Linked DNA regions of Arabidopsis thaliana. The protein of the gene in region 3 interacts with the protein of the main gene of each other region in a pairwise test. Each region holds a gene or a part of one and is shown on either strand. Other genes may lie near its edges.

Region 1 (4,923 bases), 3.3 Mb from region 3:
AGCCCATCTGGATTCTATCTTTGTCTTTAATGTTACTGTTGTACCTGAGGATTGGATCGAAATTGATTTGATCGTAAGGCGCGATTGAAGAATTGAGGTTTTGGTTGATGACGGAGAGTGTTGTTCCGTTCTCGAGATAGTACGAAGCTAGAGCTAAAGGACAGCTAGTCCTGCACTTAGATTCCACGGCGAAGAAGAATGAGAAGAGAAGAAGAATCGGAGCGATTAGAGAAATCTTTAGCTTCATTTTGAAGCTTCCTTAGATTCCCCAGAGGAAGGGTCTCTGTTTTTTTTGTTTCGTCGTTGCTCTGTGGGGAAGAAGATGGATTCAAAGACGAAAAAGGTTGACTTAATCAAACGTTGACTATTTTTTTCAACTAAAGAGAATGATGATTACTGATTAGTGTTTGTTAATTGTTGAGAAGTTTCTTAATTAATTAATAATACTAAGATCATTTAATGCAACTAGCAGCTGGAATTTGAAAGTCTTTGGTCAAAGACAAAAACTATGAAGACCGCCATTTCTGTTGAAGGAAGTAGATTTTACGTTCGAATTTTGTATGTTTTTTGTTAAAAATTTATTTTTTTGGATCAAAATATAAAGTTACTTTATAATCGAAAACAATAGAGACTATTTTTTTTTCTTATATAAAATATTTTTCAAAATTCTCACTAATAAGAAATGGGGGTAGATCTTTCACGTTGGTCTTTTAGAGTTGAATTGTTACCCTTCTTCATACATTAATCTGCTTTAACTCTGTGGCGTCGAAAGATACGGGAGAAAAGGGAAACAAACCATTGCCATAACACTATCAACCAAAAAAGGCTCTTTGACTTAGCACCACCTTCATCTTTCCCTTTGAATATTCCTTTGTACATTTCTTTCTGCTTTTGGTACAAGGCTTTCTCTTGCTCTGCAAGTGCTCGTAGCTCTCTTCTAATCGCCTTGTCGTCAGGAGCATACTTTTGTGCCTTTCGGAAATCATCACGTGCTGAGTCCATCTGTCCTAGCTCTGCCTTTGCTTTCCCTCTTCTGAACAGTGCTTTTGGGTTTTTCTCTTCTTCTGTCAACACCTGATAAGGTTTTGAGTTTGATTAGATTTCGAGAAACCGAGTATGAACTTTAATGATTTTCTTCAAATGAATGGTTTGATGAGTCTTACAATGTTGCAGTGACCAATTGCTTCATCGTATCGTTTTAGTTTGATGAGGCAAGCTGCTATGTTAAGATGGCATGGGTTTTTAACTGCTAAAGCCATATCCTGGTACTTCCCATACAGCTGAAACATAAAATCGTCCCCCATGTATGCTATGGCCTGAAACAGCAAAACCATGACTAATCAAAAGCCGAAAGAAGACACAAGAGCCTCGAGCAGACTCACTAAGTATGCCTGAAAACCTAAACTTTGACCGTAATTGTTGGAAAGAGAGATAGAGATAGAGAGAGATGCATAACCATTTCATACTGTTGCATGGCTTCCTCCAGTTTCTCCTCCTTAAAAAGAGAATTCCCATCCATTTTTCTTCTGTCTGCTGCACCAATCCTTTCCTCTACAGTCATATCACTGCGAGCTTTTCCCTGTTCAATACATCATCTAAGTCAGAGAGGTAAGCAAGGAGGTTGGGATAAAGCTTGGATGTGGAGTCGTCTTGGTAAGGAAACAAGATGATGGTATAGGAAATAACTTACCTCCTTTGTTTCATCAAACCCAATAACTTCCACCTCATATAACAAGTCTGCCATAGGTGGAACATTCGGAAAAGAAAAGTTTCCTTCTTTCCCATAAGCTAATTCCCAGCCAACATGCACAAGCGCACGTTCACCAGACTTCATGCTAGCAACACCGATGGCTAAACCGGCTAGTTCTTTTTTCTCTGTCTCACAGACAACATTTCACTCTTAGTGCACAATCTTTTTTATAAAAAAAATTGTATAGTGACGTTAAAATGGGCTAATCAGCATTGAAGCAAAAAAAATACAAAACTCAATCTTTTTTCCTCCCAAATATCCATCTCATTGGGTTCATATAATACACAAGCTAACTCATCAAATTTACCAATGACGATTCATCTAACGAAATGGAGGTGTAGAGTACATATTCGACAGCCACATACCTTTTCCAAGAACCAATTCAATAGGTTGCTGCTCATGCCATGTATCCTCAAATTTGTGCTGCGAGTTTTTGGTCCATGCCCTGTAGTGCACTATGGCCAATATGAAATTGGTCAGATAGAAAGATTCAAATAAACAGTAGCAATAGGCCAACAAGTGCAATCGAAAAATCAACATCCAATCAACAGAAAGCTAAAGGGTACTTACAAAAGCATGTAGAGTACTTGGATGGTTTGGAACCGTGACCTTCCTTTATAATCTGCTTACTGACTTTCTCATCCAAGACCTCAGCTTCACTATCAACTTTAGGAGGAACATTACCCTCTTGAGATGGCTCACTATGCACAACGGCACTTCCTTCAGTAACTATTTCGCTCTCTTGGTCTGGAGCCACAAAAGATGCATTAGTCAACCCCAATAGTCATTCTCAATTCTTAACAAACAGAAAAGGAGTTATCAAGTCTAACAAATTTGTTGTATACATGCTTTGTTCCAAGATTCACAATATGATTTAGAAAGAATAACGCAGTCAACATAATTTGATAGACATTTATCCTTTAACAAAGCATCCAATTGAATATGGGACAACAAAAAAACTCCAATCAAACATATTGAAGTCATATATATGTATTCAGAGAGATTAAATCTATGAAAATTTACTTACCATGTGTTTGAGTTTGATGCTCCAGAGATTCATCCATTATTTCCCAAATCAACCTGGGTCTGAATAAAAATGTGCAAGTGTCAATCCAAAAATTGAATCTTTAAGTGTTGAATTGATTAAACATCGACCAAATCAGACAAGTAAGATTCAATGACAAAAACCCAAAAGAACATAGTCGAAGTCAGCTACTTGAACCATTTCATTTCAAAACAAAATCAAGTCTCGTCGTCAATAATAGCAGAAAACGAAGAAAAAGTTTGTCAATTTAGAGAAGAGGAGAGTGAACTTACGAAGTATGAGAAGCTCAAGAGTAGTGTGACTCGTCGTCGTCGTCGAAGTCACTCACGAAGACTGGATCGACCGAGAGATAAATTTCAGATTTTGATTCTGAAAATATAAAGAGACCCTTCGACTTTTCAGTTTTCACTTCAGAGTCAGCCGTTAACTAACGAGAGTTTTAACGGCGTTTATTATAATTCAGTAAAATAATATCAAATATTCTCAATTTGACCCAAAAGATTATAATTTAAAAAAATAATTATACAGTCGTCTCTCAAGAACCATTTCTATAGTGACCACAAATATTTGTTACAAGTACATAGTAACCTACGAGAGCCTACTACGACCCTGTGGACTCAGAGCTGCTTGTAGTAAGATTGACTGAGGACACAAATCTTGGAACCAGTACTGCCTCGTTGGTTACAACGGTCTTTGAAGTAGCTAAATCTTCTAACCGTTGCCATGTCCTTTCCCGTTTCGCTTTAACCTCTGTTTTATTCACTTCTTCTACTTGGAATTTGGCTAAACACTCGTCGAAAAGAACTTGGTCAATCTCGCATAATACTTTCCTCACGTTTATAGTCAGACTTTGAACTGCTTGGTTCCAATGTCCACGCGTGTTTCTCTCAAGAGCTGGGAAGACTATAGGCATTATCACTTTATGGTTCTGAGTGATCAGGTTTCTTATGTGATCGTTGTTCCATAGAAACAATGCTCTTTCAGCAACCTGACAAACAAAAAGTACAACTTCATATATAGGTACAAGACTTTATCAAGAGAGATAGATATGAAGTTGTGATGATAGTCAAAGACTCGAACCTGGAAATGTGAACTGTTGAGGCATCGAGCAATTTGTCGGGATAATGGAACCATACAACGTTGAAACTCAGCGGCTTGAGTTGCTTCCAAGACTTCTTCTAACTCTCCAAGAAACATAACTTCCTTTGAGCTGTTAGTCACAGGCCAATATTTTAAAAGACCTCTAATAACGGTATCAGCGAGCTTGAAGTCCTTTTCTACAAACTGAACAATGCAATACGAAAGCTGTTGGTGATAGACTGATGAACATTTAGGCTTGTGGAGAGGAATCAAGGCTCGCAAAAGGAAGAGCTTGTGCTCTTCTTTTAAAGGCAAAGCAAAACCATTAATTATACTTCCAAGAATCTCTAGCAACTCCGCAATGCCATTATGCTTTTCAGTCTCGGATATGAATCTGTAGAAGATATTGTTTATCGCCTTTCTGATGTAAGGTCGATGCACCATGAACTTCCCGTACACCCGATGCAGAATAGTTTTTAGATATTCCCTCTCTCTTTGATCTTCAGAATCAAACAAGTCTAAGAGCTTCAAGACAAAAGAATGGTCAATATATCTCTTGGCAAGCTTTGCATCAGTCATGGGAGAAGCCACGAATCTGAGAAGAATCTCATACACAACTTGAACATGAGGCCAAGCTGGCTCCAAAGAAGGTTCTTCATCATCCATATCATGTATTTCAAGAATTTTACTCTCGTGATTCGCAGAAGGAAAAGTTCTAAACAGATTAACCGCTACCATCTTCGTTAACTCTTGCATCGAAACATCGTTAAACTTAAAACCAACTGATGCAACATAATCAACAAGCTCAAGCAATGTCTGCCTCTTAATCTCTTTCTCCTTAAGGTTCTTAGACGGATCACTAAAGTCAAAAACAACACAGCACATACTCAACTTCCCGATAAAGAGATTCGGTTTCTCCGATATAGGAACATCTCTAAAGCTAGGCAAAGCCTCATAAACCCCACCAGAAGACGGAAACGGTCCAGCTTGTACAACAGCATCTCCTCCCAATGGTTTCTTCCCTTGATTAGTATTCCTATTAGAGCTC
Region 2 (6,974 bases), on a different chromosome or scaffold from region 3:
TATAATAGTAAGGTGCCTAGAGAGACAAGAGCTGTCACTGAGCAAATGTTGTCTCCTACTCAATGCACAAAACCTTCTGAAAACATCAAAACGTATAAATACTTTTACCCTTAGTATACATATGCTATTTCTCTTACGCACTTCATTGAATAATAAATATTTTTACGTGTAAACTATTAAAAGATCTATTGTCAGATAAGTCAGAGGTCAGGACAACTATATAGAGAAGAATTGTTATTGAATTTCTCATGTGTTGTTGTTCGTTCAATTACGTTCCGACCAAAGAGCGAGTTCCAACGTATATCTCATCGTTTTGATACCCCACGTGATCGTTTTCACGTTACACAGTCAACGCCTCCAGAGCCAAGCCATCTTTTCTAGTACATTACATTTACATACTTAAATTCAAGCGCCGATCACCGATACGTTTTGAGGAGCTCATAATTAATCAAACGCAAGGAAAAAGAAGAAAAATAATTTCTATTTCATAAAAACTTTGGACAGTTTGGTTGAAAAGTTTGATCACTCGTTAAGATATTCACACATGTTAGATATGCACAATTTGTCTATAACGCAAAACTTATCATCAGCAACTATCTTACTACACAATCAATTGTCTAGACTAGTGCTTTCATTTGAAATGTTTCTTTCTCCACGCAAATTCTTTGTATCACTCCAAAAATAGTCCGAGTGATATCTTATTGGTGACAGATAAGTATATACTAAAATAAAGGAAAATTAAATTCTATTATAAGTTTGATTGTTCTTTACTCATCGAATTAAAATGCGACTACCTTCAAGCTTCAACCGAATATTACGTTCATAATTTTTTAACAAAAAAAATAACGTTCATAATTAACTTTACATACAAACAAAAACATAAATATATAAGACAAAAGAAATGAAATAAAAAGGTTATATGTGGAAGTATTAGTGCATTTGATCCAAAACAAAATAAAGAATTGTATGGAGATTTAGAAAAGCACAAGATCTAATCTAAACAGACTGCGCGATCTAGTAATACTTGACTAGTATATGATGAAATATTAGTGTAATTTAATAACATGCTTCACGACCATCGATAAATAGAAAAAACTAATCAATAGTAAATAATTGTACTTGCACATCCCAAAAATTTAATAAATGTAACAAAAACTACAAAGTCACGTACATGCATGTGCATATAATTAATTATACAAAGTTATCTAAATTTTCGACTATCATATGCTATAATTTAATTAATGCGACATTGCATGGTCCCATACACCTAAGCCTGACCTGGAATTAGTCTTTTTTCGTTCTTGTAATTATTCTTTTTCGTTTGAAAAAAAATCACCTTTGGGTCGTATCGCCTTTTATTTGCAAATACGTTTTGATAATAACTTAAAGCCCCAAAAGAACGTAGTAGAGTACTGTTACAGGCAAAGCAACCAGCATTCCGAATATAACCCTGAAAAATAATATCAAGTTTTTAGCTTAGGAGATCTCTGTAACTTTGTATAGTTTGAATACCAAATTAATATCTTATATATAGTATTAAAATGAAGTTTAAGAATGAAAATTAAATATTTTATAACTTAAATAACTTACGCAGTGCTGAGAATATCAGGATGGACGTTATATTCTTTGGCGAAAACAAAAGGAACGATTCCTTGAGGAAGAGCAGCCTTCAAAACATACAATTATATATATTCTTATCAATTATATTTTTCAAAGAAACCCAACATCACTAGCTAAAACATCAAACTGTAAGTTAGATTGAAATATATATAAGACTAAAGAGTAATCACCTGAACGATGGCGATATGGAGGAGATCACCTCGAATACCAATTGCTATTGAGGTGGCTGCGATCACGGCTGGTCCAGTCAAGAACCTTACGGCCATCGCAAACCCTGCTACTGATTTTCCGCACGCAATAATCTTTGGTTGCAATGCCATAAATAGACCTATATGTATCAATAATTAGCAAAAAAAAAAGCACCAAAGACTATAACTAAATATATATATGAAGGGAACTATACCAAGACTAAACATAGCCATTCCAAGACCAGCATCAGATAATATCGAAATCGATCCACTCATTATCGTTGGCATCTTTATATTCCACCTGTCCCATAAAATGATCAACAACATCAAGCAATTGCCCAAATATATTGTTATGTTATATGATTGTGACATTATTATTAGTACTTACTTGAAAGAGACAAGGGACCAAGCAAGGCCAAAGAGACTAGAGTAAGTGTTAGGGTTTCGAATGAGTTTTCTCCAAACCATTATCAGAATTAGTCTCGTCATCACACTCGCCGGCGGCATCTGCTGTTTCCTAGGACCGGGACCGCCGTCTTCCACGTCGCTACCTTTTTTGCCCATGTAAGGTGACTTTCCCCCGTTATTACCGTCTTGGTCCATTTCCACATGCCCTTTTCTTCCCGGTGACATGTTCTCTATCAGATTCTGCATCGCTGTCATCACCAAGTATGAATATAATTATAATTAAATATCACAGAAAATACTAAACTAAATTTATTATGACCTTTCTTCGACCAAAAAACTAACTTATAGAAAGCCGTACGGAACCAAATAAAAATCTACTTTAATTAGTTTAAAAGTTTTCATAAGTTTTGAAACTTTGAAAAAACTATAAAAAAAACTTAGAACCGATATTGAGCTTTATACATTTTTCCTAAAAGTTAAAAAAAAAATAGAAGCGTGGCAAGTAATGATAAAAAAAAATATGAAATAAGTTGGAGATTAATAAACCTTTAGTAGCGAGGTTGTCGTGAGGAGGAATAGAAACTTTAGGGTCGGTGGATACATCGGTGGAAGAACCTCTGGTCATAGCATTCTTCGCGTTGGCTTCCGACACCGGAGAAGCACTCGAACTCCACACGAACATGTTCATCTCCTTGTTTTGTCCTCCTACTCCTACTCCGCCACCGCTTCCTCCGCCACCACTTTCCTTTTTCTTGACTCCACTTGCTCCACTCGTTGACCCCGTGAACATTGGGTTCGGCGGTGGGTACGACGGAACTGACCATAAATTATAGAAAATTTTATTTTAAAACATTACATTATAATGAAAAAATCACATTTAAATTTCAAAATACAAAATTAATATTTTGTTTTCCAAAACTATAATCAGTTTAAAAACCTAAGAGTTTTGGAAGTGATATACTAAATTATTATTATTTTGTTAAAAGAAAAAAATAATTACGCAAAATTATTTGATGAACTCTTTACTTAACTTTTAAACCTTTTTAAACCTAATAATATCCCACTTATAATCACCGGTGACTGATGGAAAATAATAATAATATCTGAATCGATTCTTATATCTATTTAAATTTATAAAGAAGCAAAATATATTTTTTTAAAAAAATAAATAAAAAATAAATATATATATATATATATATTAAAAAATTCATACCACTATTATTGTTGTATAATTCCCCACTCATACTTCTGCCTCCTCTTCCTGCTTTCTTCGCCGTCTTCATAACTTCCTCATCAAAATTTGACGTTCTCGGCGTCACGCCTTTAGAAGACTGAAGTGAGTAAACATCTCCACCTGGACCAGCTCCAGCGCCGCCGTAGCTATTAGTGTAACCGTGACGAGGGCTTGGAGCTTTGCTTGCGTTAAACATTGCGTAGAAATCTGTCTGATTAAAGCTAGAAGCTCTCGGCGTCGGCTCTCGTGACGATTGAACGGAGTAAATCTCTACGCCGGTGAGATTTGAAGCTCGCGGCGTTATCATGGAGGAGTTAAGTCCTCCGCCGTGAGATTTGTTGAATGAAGAGATCATTGATGAGGCGGCACTTGATCTTCGAACCACCACGTGTAGCTTTCCGTCGTCTCCTATCTCCGCATCGGTCTAATGAAAGATAAATCCATATTTTTAGGTGATGAATTTCGAGTCGATGTGATTTAAACCGGATATAACCGAATCGGTACAAAAAGAATGAAAATTCAACTAGACTATAGTTAATAACTTGATATTTCTTATATTGTACTAATTATTAAATTCTGCGTGAATAATGTAACACGTCACTTTGAAGATTATTTTTGACTTCTGAAAAAGGAACTCAGACAAAACTCAAAATTTGTTATAGATTTACATAGGCAAAAAGGAATCCCAAAATGACATGTAGTCATGTCGTAACTAGTAACTACCCATTTTCTAGTTTACTTGAGTTAACCGGTCCGTTAATTTGAACAAACATATGAAAAAGGTCATCAGTGAAAAATTCATACCTGGAGGGGTTCACGGCCATTAAGAGAGATAACATCAGAGTCAACTCTGAAGGAAGTAATTGAACCAGCCGTCTCCGGGAACTGCTCGGAGATGAGAAGCTTAGCCCCACGGAACTCAAACAAGAAGAGCATTAATGTATACCATATGATGCTCTGAAGCACCACGATCTGCACCATTAGGTTACCGGAGAAGTCTCCGTACATCGCCCTAAGCAATGGGATTCCCATTACCAACGTGTTAGGCAGTGTTGATAGTGAAAAGAGCGTTATCATCCATTCTAGGCTTCCTCTGCGGCTAAACGCCTAAAAAATAATATCACAATATATACACAAACATGAGAATGTGTGTGTTTAGAGACACATATTACAAAAGAGCTAAAATGTTAACTAAAATATTTACCCGTGTTAAATGACATAGTTACTATACTATAAGCTTTCGATAACCAATATGTTTTCGAGTAAAAATTGACCATCATAGCAATTACTAGTAGACTACCATCACTTAATGAAGATAGATTATGTGCATAGAGAGATTATTGAAAGAGACGGGCCTGCCAAAGAAAGAGTGCGGCGAGGATAACGACTTTCTGAAGAGAATCAGCAGCGAGGAAGTGGTAATTCATTGCATAAGGATCATTGGAGGAGATGAAATGGAAAGAGAGAAGAGGAACCGCGAAAACCGCAACGAACCGGTTTATACCGGAACATTGGTCCGGTGTGAATATCCCCCACCACCGTACCGAACCATAGGCTAATATCATAGCAACGTATAGCGGCACCATAGCCGCTAAAACATCGTACATGTCTTTGCCGGTGATCATTTTGATTTACTTTTTCCGGCGAGAGAGAGAAGAAGAAGAAAAATAGAGATATAGATGAGTATATGTGGTGTGAAATAACGTATTTATGGACAAGGAAGTGAAGTTCCTTGAGACGATATTTAATTAATGTTGTTTGTGTTAAAATAATGGGATTCGTGTTCAAACATTGAATTATAGCTAAGCTTAGCTAGAGAGGATCGTTGGACATTTGAATATCAAATAAACAAAATATAAACCAAAATGCCTTTTTTCTTCCTCGGCATTTTGTGAATGGACAAATACTAATACAGTAATAATTTCAGTCTGAATCTTCTTTGGTCCATAATTTTTCGAAGTGCTCTAGATTTTTTCTTTTTTTCCGTTGATACTAGATATTCCTTCTATCTTTATTACTTCTGCAAAAAGCCGTTATATTTAATTTGAAGAATCTTATCTTGGGATAAGGAAGATTGGTTTACCTTCTGTCTCGTGGTCTAACATTATTTGTAAGTAAAATTAAATGCTTCAGAGATTATAAATTATAATTACACAAATGTTAGATTCAAAATATCTGTAGAGTCAGATACTTGGATCCACTTGTACGTGTAATACAAATTTGTAAATTTAGATTAGATTTTATATTAATAAGAAAACAAATTTGTAAATTTAGATTAGGTTTTATATTAATAAGAAAACAAAAACGATTTTTGTGTAAGCTATTGAGACGGCGAAGGTTGATGGACATGCACATGGTTTTTGCGAGCATCTTACTACACTTTCTGAGCGATCTGCGGTTCCCTGTAAACATCTGATTTTTAATCAGGAAAAATACAATTGTAATTAACTTATCTTTTAATCTTGAAACGGTGTATTTTTGTTTTTAAACGAAAATCTCTTAATGATTTATTATTAACTACAGTCAAAGACATTGGCAATTGGACCGATGAATAATTAGCCTCTCTTCCATATTTAATTGTCGTGTTTTCTTCATATTGCAATTGTTAACGTATTTATCACGCCACGTGATTGGGCGTTTGGGCCTAATGGACCTATGGATCTAACGATGGAGATACTAACTAGATTATCACTAAAATCTCTTTTGAAGTTCCAATATGTATCGAAGACATGGTTTTCCACAATCCGTAGCAAAGACTCCATCAATTCGTTGGTCTCTATGTCATCTACACGATCATCGCGATTTCTTATATCTCTTTAAAAAAAACGGTGAATTGACCAACAAGAAACCTAAAAAGAGTTTGTTCTTCTTTACATCTTCACAAGAGGAAGAAGAATAAAAGCCTTTAATAAGTGATCTCAGTTTTAAACTTTATCCATGTTTTTTTGTTAACTCATGAATTGAAAGAGAACAACCAAAGTGAATGTAGCCTGATAAAACAGGATGAAACTATTGAAAGATTCAAACTTTGTTTACAGAATCATCCTTCTTGGCCACTTCACTACTTTCCAACGGTGGTAAACTCTGCACAAAAGTAAAAAGCAATCAGATTACAAATCTCTCATGGGCAATTCATCGAACACCTTATGTGCATTACAATAAAAGAGAGATCACAGAGCCAGAGAACGAAATGAATGGTTTTAAACCGATCACGCTTATGGGCATTATCAAGAACGAAGAAAGTGAGCAAACCTAATACATTTGAGAACCCTAACATATGTACAGAAAGAGAAGGTGAAGCTTACGAGATCTGGTTTGTAGATGTTGTGGACAACGGAGGCTCCGGCGAGAAGGGAAGCAACGACGACGAGTGTTGACATTGCCAGAGACGGAGTTCCCGTCGGCAACTTTCCTTTATACGGTTTCTTCATCTTTGGCTCTGCTTTTTGACTGAGCGCGCGATATGAAGAGAAATTTGAAAAGCTTTTCGAAATTTTGAACCATCATCAACAAGTTTGCTTTTA
Region 3 (4,977 bases):
ACAAAATACACAAAACCACATCATTGTTATGTTTTGAATTCTTACATTCCACCAACAATAGCAGAGAATATAGCAGTAAACGCCTTTCCTCCATCGGTTTGTCCATTCCGAATAAAAACTCCAGCATACCAAAACACCAAAGCCCATGACATACAAGCTATTCCATAAGTACATCCTAAACCCAACCCTTTAGCCATCCCCGCTTTATAACCGAGCTTAAGCGTATACTGAATCGCATCCGAATACGCATTAAGTGCCTTACTCTCTCCAACATAAGAATAAACAGTTCGAACTTGAGCAATTGCCTGAGAAACCAAAACATCAATCATTAACCGACCAAAGAAAAGCAAAGATTTTGAATTAGTGAAAACACTGTTTAAGTCTTTGGATTGCATAAGAAGCAATGAAAAAAAAAAAAAATCATTTGAGAGATCAAGTACAAAGAAGCAAGCCTAAGAACAGTTAAAAAGCATTACGTCGAACAGTTGGTGGGCATTAAATAAAACAAATAAAGGAACAAACTTTAATCTTTATTTACCTGCTCGGCGATAACACCGGCGTTAGCATAAGATTCACGGCTCTTTGAAGTAATTCCGGTGAGTGTATAAGCGTATAAACCTCCGGCGAAAGCGATTCCGGGAATCACAGCAACACTTAACAAAGCTAATTTCCATGCTGATACAAATCCAACTACTAATCCCGCCAAAAATGTTGAGAGGTAATGTATAAAGTTTCCAACCTGAGAAATTCAATTTTTTTTCAACTACTCTGTTATTAATTCACTTCATCAACAATAAAAAAGAGTGATGATAATAATGAAACTAGGGGACCCAGTGCATGTTAGCTCGTGCTTGCTAACGTGCACCACAGAGACAGGACCAAATTGCAAAAAAAAAAACAGTTTTAGATAAAATGTACTATTAAAATTTGAAGGTACTTTACACATTTTTTTTAATAACAAATATTTATTTTACTTGTTAAAGAAACATTATTTTGCATAATAAATATTTTTCACAATGGAAAAAAAGAAGCTATTTTTATATTAAAAATGTAAGAAAATGAGTACTATATCATTTAAGTTTTAGTTAAATAGTGAAAAAAATCCTCTATTTCTATAGCAAATTTGTAAAAAAAAATTACTTATTTTCACAATCTTATGAAAAAAATCCAACTTTTATTTTAACAAAAAAAAAAATCAATCTATAGTCTTTTTTCTTCCCTAACCACCTGAGGCGCAAGATAAACGACGGTTGCTAACATAAACGGACCCAAAACTTTGATAAAGATTGATCATGAAAAAAATGGGACCCGCCGGTAAATACTAGATTTTGTTGGTAGTAAAAAAAAAAATGGTTACCTTTTCACTAATGGCATCTTGAACAAGAAGAGTATCAGTAGAAACACTAAAGACAATGTCACCAGTTCTAGCATCAGTATCAAAGAACCCAACGTCTTGTTTTAATACTGCTTCAAGATATTTCTTCCTTAATGCTGCTACTTGTCTTTCTCCAGAATACATCCAACATGCTATCTCTGTAAAATTATTTAACAAAAAATTATGGTTATTATTACAAGAATTTTTATGAAGTTGTAATAAATGTGAGAGAGATGCCCATTTTTTTTTTTTTTTCGATATAGACAAAGTAGTAGTCCATGAATCACGTGGACTTGGCTTATCCTTTTAACATATTAAAATTTTTAAAAATTTGAAGTGTTTTTTTTTTATATATAATTTTGATTCTCTCTAGATTGTGATTTCTGTTTCTAGGTTTTTATTTATTGAAGCAAACATAAAAAAGTTGGGTTTTTGTTGTAGAGTAAAAAAATGTTTACCAGAGTAAATGATCACTTTGTGGAAGAATCAAATAAAAACTCAAAAATTACACCTTTAGATTTCTTGTCTATAAAAGCGGTTGGCACGGAAAGTTCGTTCCGAACCCCATTACATCACTTATGTAAACAACATTCTATAAAAATGGTTTTTTTAGTTCTAATCAAAAGCGAATGACAAAAAAAACAAGATTTTAAACAAAGTTTAAGCTTTCTTTTTTTAATATAATTTTGAAGCAAACAAAAAAAGAAGTTGGGTTTTTGTTGTAGAGTAAAAAAAAATGTTTTACCTTCAGAGTAAATGGTCACTTTGAGGAAGAATCAAATAAAACTCAAAAAATACACCTTTAGATTTCTTGCCTAATAATCTGATTTAATTTATGTTAATGGGTTAATTGGTTGAACCAAAAAAAAGAAAATAATGCAAATGTTTAATCTAAACTTTATTAATTTCTTGATCTTGTTTTCTTTTTTTTTTGTGCAAAAAATTTCTTGATCTTGTTTATAATGTGATTTAATTACTGGGTTTCTTGATTGAAGAATAAAGAAAAAGAAGATTGGATTTGTAAGAAACAAACCTGCGTAAGAAGAGAAGCAAACGACCAAACCCAAGTAGACGAAATATAGAGAATACTGCAAAATTTCACAAACACAAAAATTAGATCAGATCTTGGATCTAATTTGATAAAAACAAGAAAGAAAAAAAAGACTTACTCTAGAGACTTCATGAACCATTTGATGTAAATCCATTTGGTTTTTACCAAATCCATTAACCATTTGACCAAAGAGTAAAAAGAAGACAGGCATGGAAGAGCCATGAACAATGGCACCAAGAGAACCAACGAACATTAAGAGATAATCAAATTTATCAGCGAAAGAAAAGAGTTTAAAGAATGGTAAACTCTGTTCTTTCTTCTTCTCTGCTTCTGCTGGAACAGTCTTGGCATCGGTTGTGTTAGTTTCCGACATGGTTTTTTGTAGATCCGAGTTAAAGAAAGTAAGAAGAAACGAGTTGGTTTAGTGAGAAAACGAGATCATTGAGCAGTGAGAGAGAGAGAGAGAAAGAATGAAATGTTTTTTGTTTTATAAAGTTTTTCTTGAAAATCTGACAATTGTTTTGTGAAGTTCAAGAACTCTTTTACGAGTGTCTTGTTTTGAAGTGGTGAGAAGAGAGAGAGAATGAGAGTGTGGTTGGAGAAGGGTGTGATTGGTATATATAGGAGGGAGAGAGAGTGATGAAGACTAGTGGTCAAAGACTCATTGAGACATGAGAGATTGAGAGATTCGTGTTGCTAGTTGATGTAATTAATGTTTAACATTTTGTAAAATGGAAAAAAAAAACAATTAAGGGTTTACTTTGATTTTATTGGATTGTTTGAATTGACTAATTTGTGTTAATTAATGTCATTTTAGAAAGTTTTTTTTTTATAAAGATCTTTTTTGTTAAAGTTATGTTGTGTTCAATTAATATTTTTAAAGTACTACAAATCAAAATCTGGTGTGATTCAATGGTTTTGCATAAGTAGAGATTTTAACAAATCTGCAAGCATTTTTTCTGGTCAAACTATGAAATGGGAATTTTATTGAACATGTCATTGTATAAAAATTCATGTTTAGAGTTAGATATAATCCAATGAAAGTTTGATTACAGTTTTTTTTTTTTTTGGTCTAAATAATTTTTAAACAACATTAGATATTTTATATTTTTATATTGTTACATTAAGAAAACTTGATTTTTGTGTAAATACATATATATATATATATATATATATATATATATGTATAGACAACTTGTCTAAAATTATATAGAAGTATTTCTATGGTCAACATATAAGTATACAAATTTTAGCTCAATTTTTCATTTAAATAAGTAATGTTTAAAACTTTGAAATGTATAAATCCATTAAAGTCTTCATCACAATGATGATGTACTTTGGTTTCTGTCTAATAAGTTTTGAACAACATCATGTATTTTGTATCGTCACATTTAGAAAACATCATATATTTTATTTAATAATTTCTATTATAACTTGATTAATAATTTCTAAAAATTTAGGAAATTTTTTGATGTATATCCAATTAACTCCTTATGACAATGATGAAGAACTTTATATTTTTACTAATAAGTTATAAATGACATCATATACATTATATCATCACACTTAGACAATTAGTATAAAGTTATATGATTCAAATCATAGGGTAAGCTAATCAGTAGCGATTACTTTTTGTGTTATAATAAGCATGTCAAGGGGATCATTACCTTTCTTATGACTACCATTTCATTATCTCCATTTTGTGATAGATCAAGGCTGAAAAATCATACAAATTAGAACGTTATCGAGTATAAATAACAAATGATCGATTAGCTCAGACCATATCATGAAAAATAGATGATCTCTCTGACTCTCTCATACGATTATCTGCATACTAAACAAGCATATGCTATTGCACCCAAACCCGAGATATCGAAACTGTGGGAAGTCGATCTTTAGCAGAAAGAATATCGAGGGATCACTTGTGCAAACCACACAGTTTTACACAATACCTATTATCGAAGGATATATAACTAATCATTTGTTTGAAAAATATGTGTGAGTTTCTCTAGTAAAAATATTAGGATACAAATTTTAGTTAAGTTGTCATTTTAAAATTTGATGTTAAAATCTTTAACTGTATATAAATTCATTAAGTGCGTTTACCAGAATGACGCCAAACTTTGGTTGTTTTATAATAATTTTTAAACAACATCATGTATTTGTAATGTCACATTTAGACAACATCATACATTTTCTAATAATTTTAAAAATTCATGTTTCAATTTCGATATATAAATTTTTGCAACTAATATAAATTCAAGGATCAGCTAGTCCGTTACTGTTTGGTGTTATAACGCATATGTTTTTTTAAAAAAATTCAAATTTATGTTCTTCTCTTGTTTATGAAGTGTAATTTGTAGTACGATACCTCTTATTAGAGTGGTAGATTAATTTAATGGAACATCAAACATTTGGTGAAGGAACTCCAATAAGAATTATGAAGTGGAGAAGAATATGAAATATAATATTTACAACAGATAACCGATTATAACCAGGTCCATTTGTCTTGATTTTTCTTATGTTAAATTCTTGTATATATCGAAAATCT
Region 4 (6,122 bases), on a different chromosome or scaffold from region 3:
GACTCACTTTATGTATATTAAAGCAGGTCAATATAGATCATAAAGTGTTAATTAGTCAAAATTTGCTTTATTAAACCAAACTATCTTACTCTCTTTTCCATTTTTCCCGTTTCAAGTGTTTGCTAAAAGATCAATTTTAATTTTCTCGTTTCAAGTATTTGCTAAAAGGTCATCCATCACCCATAACCATAAGTCAAGCCGTGCAAACATAGAGTATTAGAAAAAACGTTAATTTGAGTTCAATATTACACAAAGTCGCAGTTGTAACAAGGATTTGCACAACAAAAGATTGAAAGATTAATGGATTAGTGACAAATAATTTGAAAGATCCAAAATATCATTAACTATATGGAATGTGAAAAAATCCTGCAATTTTTTTTTTTTTTTTGCCGTGTTAAAAATTCAATTCTTTCAAAGAACCAATTTTAAAATTATTTGTCAGTAAAAAAAAATAGAAACTACTTGATTTATAATTTTTAATAGAAAAATGATGTTAAGTCATCAACTCTTTTATTTTTTCGTAACTTCTCAACATATTTACTTTATTCGGATTGCATAACCTACTTTTTTTGTGTGTATAGTCTCTTTAAGCGCAAGAAATGGCAAGGAAAGTCGAATTATATTAGTACTATATATTATTATTATGCTTAAAAAAAAGTTGAAAACATTGGAAAAATAAAAAGCTGGAAAGAAAAAAAAAAGAAGAACTGTGTTTGTATGGGATGATGAGAAAAATGAAGAGCAGACTGTTGATGGAATATTGTGTTTCCTCAAATATCAACACTCCTCATTATATCATCAACCCATTGCTTTTTGTACGGACTTTATTAGTAGTATTAAAGAACACATCAGACTGATTTGTGTAAGCAAACCAGAACCACCCTCTTTTCAACATTTTTCTTTCAAAAAACTTCTACGTATTTATGTTCAATAAAACTTTGTTACTAATTTTCTCAACGAAATATATTTTATAAAACTTTGTTAGTAATGTTATACAGTAAACAGTAAAAGAAAATAAGTTCCAAGATGAGCGATCAAAGGATTGAATAGTTCATAAATAATTCGTATGCGCAACTACAACTGTAAATGATAACCTATGCAATGATAACTCACACACACCCATCTCACATGAAAAAGTGATTTCGACCTTATGTTAGTGATATCACATCTTTTCTTTTATCTCCACCCACAAAGTCTTTGGTTAGGAACTAGTTTGTTCAATTGCAACCATTTTTCCAAAGACTTTCAACCTCTCTTCGGAGAAGACTTCTATCTTTAAAACCAAAATTTTCTAAGTTCATATAAACATCAAATCGAGCCTTATATCATCACTTCAATGTGTATTTATCTTCTGTTGTGATTTATCAATTGAAAGTCAATACCAAAAATCCCATCATACTAATCACAATAATTTATAGCAAAAATAAATTTAACAATTTTTAAACATGGTAAAAATATAAATTTAATAATTAGTATAGGGGATAAATTGATCAACCGAATAGATTAATTCATAATTTGAAAAGGCCAAAAAAAAAAGAGAGAGGCAAAAACAGAGGCTCTGCTTTGGACTCCGCAAAGCGCACAAGGCCGCCTCTTTCACTATCCCCAAAGCTCCACCACGCACCCATCAACCACCATTTTTATTTCGTTTTTATTACATTCAAAAAAACTTCTTTTTGTCGTATTTCAATCAAAATTACATCACACACACTATTATGTTGGAATGTTTAACAAAACAAATAAATATGTTGAGCTATTCCAATTTTACATTTAATGTTTTTTTACTCCTACACGTAAACTACTTTTGAATATAATATCTAGAAACTAACCAAATAATCGAAAACGAAAATAATAAAATCAGCAAACAGTTTTAGCTTCATTAACAAAATATATATATGTTTAATTAAAAAATATGGTATTTTCTCAACGGACAAAAAAATAAAATAAAAAGAATATAAAAATGTGGTCTCTTCTCAACACTCACTTTACTCTTTTTTCCCTCTTCACCACTTCTCTCTCAAACTAAAGACAAAAGCTCTTCTCTCTTCCCTCTCTCTTCTCCGGCGAACAAAAGATGATTACGGCGGCGGACTTCTACCACGTTATGACGGCTATGGTTCCGTTATACGTAGCTATGATCCTCGCTTACGGCTCTGTCAAATGGTGGAAAATCTTCACACCAGACCAATGCTCCGGCATAAACCGTTTCGTCGCTCTCTTCGCCGTTCCTCTCCTCTCTTTCCACTTCATCGCCGCTAACAACCCTTACGCCATGAACCTCCGTTTCCTCGCCGCAGATTCTCTCCAGAAAGTCATTGTCCTCTCTCTCCTCTTCCTCTGGTGCAAACTCAGCCGCAACGGTTCTTTAGATTGGACCATAACTCTCTTCTCTCTCTCGACACTCCCCAACACTCTAGTCATGGGGATACCTCTTCTCAAAGGCATGTATGGTAATTTCTCCGGCGACCTCATGGTTCAAATCGTTGTTCTTCAGTGTATCATTTGGTACACACTCATGCTCTTTCTCTTTGAGTACCGTGGAGCTAAGCTTTTGATCTCCGAGCAGTTTCCAGACACAGCAGGATCTATTGTTTCGATTCATGTTGATTCCGACATTATGTCTTTAGATGGAAGACAACCTTTGGAAACTGAAGCTGAGATTAAAGAAGATGGGAAGCTTCATGTTACTGTTCGTCGTTCTAATGCTTCAAGGTCTGATATTTACTCGAGAAGGTCTCAAGGCTTATCTGCGACACCTAGACCTTCGAATCTAACCAACGCTGAGATATATTCGCTTCAGAGTTCAAGAAACCCAACGCCACGTGGCTCTAGTTTTAATCATACTGATTTTTACTCGATGATGGCTTCTGGTGGTGGTCGGAACTCTAACTTTGGTCCTGGAGAAGCTGTGTTTGGTTCTAAAGGTCCTACTCCGAGACCTTCCAACTACGAAGAAGACGGTGGTCCTGCTAAACCGACGGCTGCTGGAACTGCTGCTGGAGCTGGGAGGTTTCATTATCAATCTGGAGGAAGTGGTGGCGGTGGAGGAGCGCATTATCCGGCGCCGAACCCAGGGATGTTTTCGCCCAACACTGGCGGTGGTGGAGGCACGGCGGCGAAAGGAAACGCTCCGGTGGTTGGTGGGAAAAGACAAGACGGAAACGGAAGAGATCTTCACATGTTTGTGTGGAGCTCAAGTGCTTCGCCGGTCTCAGATGTGTTCGGCGGTGGAGGAGGAAACCACCACGCCGATTACTCCACCGCTACGAACGATCATCAAAAGGACGTTAAGATCTCTGTACCTCAGGGGAATAGTAACGGTATAGTCCCTCTATAACTTTGTTGTTTTGTTTTCGCACCCTAATTTATTTTCTTTACAAAAACACCCCCAAAATTTCTCTATGTCCTTCGATATTTATGATTTGGTTAAGGGGTTCTTTAATTGTTTACATGTGTTGTTGCCTTACTTTAGACAACCAGTACGTGGAGAGGGAAGAGTTTAGTTTCGGTAACAAAGACGATGATAGCAAAGTATTGGCAACGGACGGTGGGAACAACATAAGCAACAAAACGACGCAGGCTAAGGTGATGCCACCAACAAGTGTGATGACAAGACTCATTCTCATTATGGTTTGGAGGAAACTTATTCGTAATCCCAACTCTTACTCCAGTTTATTCGGCATCACCTGGTCCCTCATTTCCTTCAAGTACTGTTTCAAACTTGTCTTATTTTCACTTTACTTTGGTTTTGGTCTACTATTTTAACCACTTTCTTGATGCATAAAGGGTCAGCCTTGAATGCGTATATGTTTGAAAGTTTTTTCTGATAGATTGAAGTAACAAAAGATTTGAGAAAGATCTCTTTATTGGAATTAAATTGATGTGGTCTGTGCAGGTGGAACATTGAAATGCCAGCTCTTATAGCAAAGTCTATCTCCATACTCTCAGATGCAGGTCTAGGCATGGCTATGTTCAGTCTTGGTCAGTTCCTTTTTCTCTTTTCTTTTATTTTTACCTCTTTTCATTTATTACATAATTAAATACCATAAAACAGTCAATTGTTCTCTTTATTTCTGACCTTCATTCTTTATGGTGTTTTTTAAATTTTAAATGATTTTAAGAAAAAAAACAAATCATGTGGAAGCATGATTCTCTCTGTTTTCTTTTTCTTTGAAGTTTTTTTGAAACATGTTTGTATCAAAAAAGCAAACAAAACTGGCTTCACAGCAGAAAGCATGCTCCACAGTTCTCTGCTTATCATCATAACATGTCTCTCCCTTGAATAGGAGGAACCATTTTTTATTTTCTCTTAAAGCAACAAACAATTTTTTTATACCTAATATTGACCCCCTTATCGATGAAAAAACTTTCTTTTTTACCTTGTTTATGTTTCAGTAGACTTCCATCAACTGATTATAAAATTTGTGCTTAATCATGACTTTATGGAATGAATAGTTTAGGATAACGATAATGATGATGTTAATGTTGTGGTGGTGGATCAGTGGCTGTGATGATTATTTTTATGTCACTCTTTTGCAGCTAAAAACAGTGTATAAACTTAAATTAACCAAAAAGCAAAACAATAATAAATTATTTGTTTAAATTTGTGGCTTTTTTTGGATGTGTTAAAGGGTTGTTCATGGCGTTAAACCCAAGAATAATAGCTTGTGGAAACAGAAGAGCAGCTTTTGCGGCGGCTATGAGATTTGTCGTTGGACCTGCCGTCATGCTCGTTGCTTCTTATGCCGTTGGCCTCCGTGGCGTCCTCCTCCATGTTGCCATTATCCAGGTAGTTTTTATTTGCATGATCAAATATGAAACACTTCTGTTGTGTCTACTGTCGTTTATACGATTTCTAACCATTATTTTTATTGACAACAAACAGGCAGCTTTGCCGCAAGGAATAGTACCGTTTGTGTTTGCCAAAGAGTATAATGTGCATCCTGACATTCTTAGCACTGCGTAAGTTTATTAATCTATTAAATAGTTTTGTTGTTATAACAATAAATTTTGTTGTAGAAAAAAAGTTAGGTTGGTTTTGCCTACATTAATTATGATTAGGTGTATATATAAATATATTTTTGTTAACGTGAGTTCTGATTTTTGTTGCAGGGTGATATTTGGGATGTTGATCGCGTTGCCCATAACTCTTCTCTACTACATTCTCTTGGGTCTATGAAGAGATATTACCAAAACACAGGGACTTTGTTTTATTCTTTTGTGGGATGATGAATTGTGAAAAGAACAATGCCCTTTTTGTTGAAAACCCACAAATTAAATCAGAAGCAGCTTTAGAGAATCTTTGAGGATAATTGAAGCTCTTGAAGAAGAGAAGAAGAAGGAGACTTAAGTAGGAGCTCAGCAAGTTTTACCTTTTTCTTAATTTTAATGAACATTCGTGTTTCCTCTTTTGGTAGGTTTTAGGAATTTGTAAAAGCTTTGGCTACTTTTAGTGAATTAAAAACGTTAAGGAAAATATCAAATTTTGTGTGCATGCTAAAAGTGAATTGGTGTGTATAGGTCTAAATCTCACCAAAATAAGAAGTGTTTTAGCCATTTCAAAAGTTAAGTTCACTTAACATTTCTATGTTTCGTTTGCCTAAATGTGAAAAATCAGAAACTAAAACAGTAAAGTACATCTTCCACAAAATGTTTGAGAAAGGGATTTCTACGGGGGATTTGGGAAAATTTAAAACGTAGTCATGAATATTAGAAACTTTACAATAGCTTAGGTGGGAAGGTATGAAATAGCATGTGACTATAACAACACAGACGACACGAGTATTGGATTCAACAGAACACTCGATTAAATATGTAGAAGATAGGGGACTTGGTGCATGCGTTACGTTATTCGACTTGGTCAAGATTCCTCTTCACTGCGTTTGTGGAATCTTGAAAGATTCGTTTAGTGTTGTCAATTGTGTATCCTTTTACCGATTCTTCTCAGAATCATTACATACCACTTAGATGCTGATGCTTTTTATGAATAAAAACAAACCTTCATATTTATACGACGATCTTATATAATGATAAATCAAATGTATAATACTTAACTTGGTTTGAATTGTACTCTCGACATGAAAATCATTTAATTGCTAAAAATATTGGCTTGATTTAAATAT

The links.
Region 1: the proteins of ABCB19 (region 3) and TWD1 interact in a two-hybrid assay, tested with the Arabidopsis thaliana proteins (one study listed by BioGRID).
Region 2: the proteins of ABCB19 (region 3) and EIR1 interact in a two-hybrid assay, tested with the Arabidopsis thaliana proteins (one study listed by BioGRID).
Region 4: the proteins of ABCB19 (region 3) and PIN1 interact in binary tests that used the Arabidopsis thaliana proteins (3 or more experiments, as listed by UniProt).

Annotation. Positions count from the first base shown.
Region 1 is NC_003074.8:7,618,284-7,623,206, forward strand, and holds TWD1 (FKBP-type peptidyl-prolyl cis-trans isomerase family protein), read right to left. Parts: upstream 3,195-4,923; 5' UTR 3,068-3,194; intron 2,837-3,067; 5' UTR 2,815-2,836; coding exon 2,778-2,814; intron 2,498-2,777; coding exon 2,321-2,497; intron 2,206-2,320; coding exon 2,116-2,205; intron 1,876-2,115; coding exon 1,691-1,875; intron 1,580-1,690; coding exon 1,457-1,579; intron 1,317-1,456; coding exon 1,164-1,316; intron 1,075-1,163; coding exon 742-1,074; 3' UTR 568-741; downstream 1-567. Other genes in the region: CERK1 (chitin elicitor receptor kinase 1), read right to left, coding at 1-247; AT3G21650 (Protein phosphatase 2A regulatory B subunit family protein), read right to left, coding at 3,397-3,783, 3,876-4,923. UniProt on the Arabidopsis thaliana protein: PPIases accelerate the folding of proteins. It catalyzes the cis-trans isomerization of proline imidic peptide bonds in oligopeptides.
Region 2 is NC_003076.8:23,098,866-23,105,839, reverse strand, and holds EIR1 (Auxin efflux carrier family protein), read right to left. Parts: upstream 5,325-6,974; 5' UTR 5,076-5,324; coding exon 4,806-5,075; exon of another isoform or gene 4,655-4,805; intron 4,558-4,654; coding exon 4,255-4,557; intron 3,875-4,254; coding exon 3,430-3,874; intron 3,033-3,429; coding exon 2,763-3,032; intron 2,465-2,762; coding exon 2,197-2,464; intron 2,110-2,196; coding exon 2,024-2,109; intron 1,949-2,023; coding exon 1,791-1,948; intron 1,668-1,790; coding exon 1,591-1,667; intron 1,451-1,590; coding exon 1,384-1,450; 3' UTR 612-1,383; downstream 1-611. Other genes in the region: AT5G57080 (uncharacterized protein), read right to left, coding at 6,472-6,534, 6,756-6,881. UniProt on the Arabidopsis thaliana protein: Acts as a component of the auxin efflux carrier. Seems to be involved in the root-specific auxin transport, and mediates the root gravitropism. Its particular localization suggests a role in the translocation of auxin towards the elongation zone.
Region 3 is NC_003074.8:10,874,488-10,879,464, forward strand, and holds the start of ABCB19 (ATP binding cassette subfamily B19), read right to left. Parts: upstream 3,092-4,977; 5' UTR 2,800-3,091; coding exon 2,545-2,799; intron 2,464-2,544; coding exon 2,409-2,463; intron 1,534-2,408; coding exon 1,358-1,533; intron 740-1,357; coding exon 539-739; intron 306-538; coding exon 46-305; intron 1-45. UniProt on the Arabidopsis thaliana protein: Brassinosteroid exporter that, in conjunction with ABCB1, supports the accumulation of exogenous brassinosteroids (BR) in the apoplast, thus promoting BR signaling initiation involving the specific receptor BRI1 and required for plant growth and stress responses.
Region 4 is NC_003070.9:27,657,698-27,663,819, forward strand, and holds PIN1 (Auxin efflux carrier family protein), read left to right. Parts: upstream 1-1,975; 5' UTR 1,976-2,074; coding exon 2,075-3,320; intron 3,321-3,472; coding exon 3,473-3,707; intron 3,708-3,895; coding exon 3,896-3,981; intron 3,982-4,631; coding exon 4,632-4,789; intron 4,790-4,885; coding exon 4,886-4,962; intron 4,963-5,112; coding exon 5,113-5,179; 3' UTR 5,180-5,556; downstream 5,557-6,122. UniProt on the Arabidopsis thaliana protein: Acts as a component of the auxin efflux carrier; this activity is enhanced when activated by D6PK-mediated phosphorylation.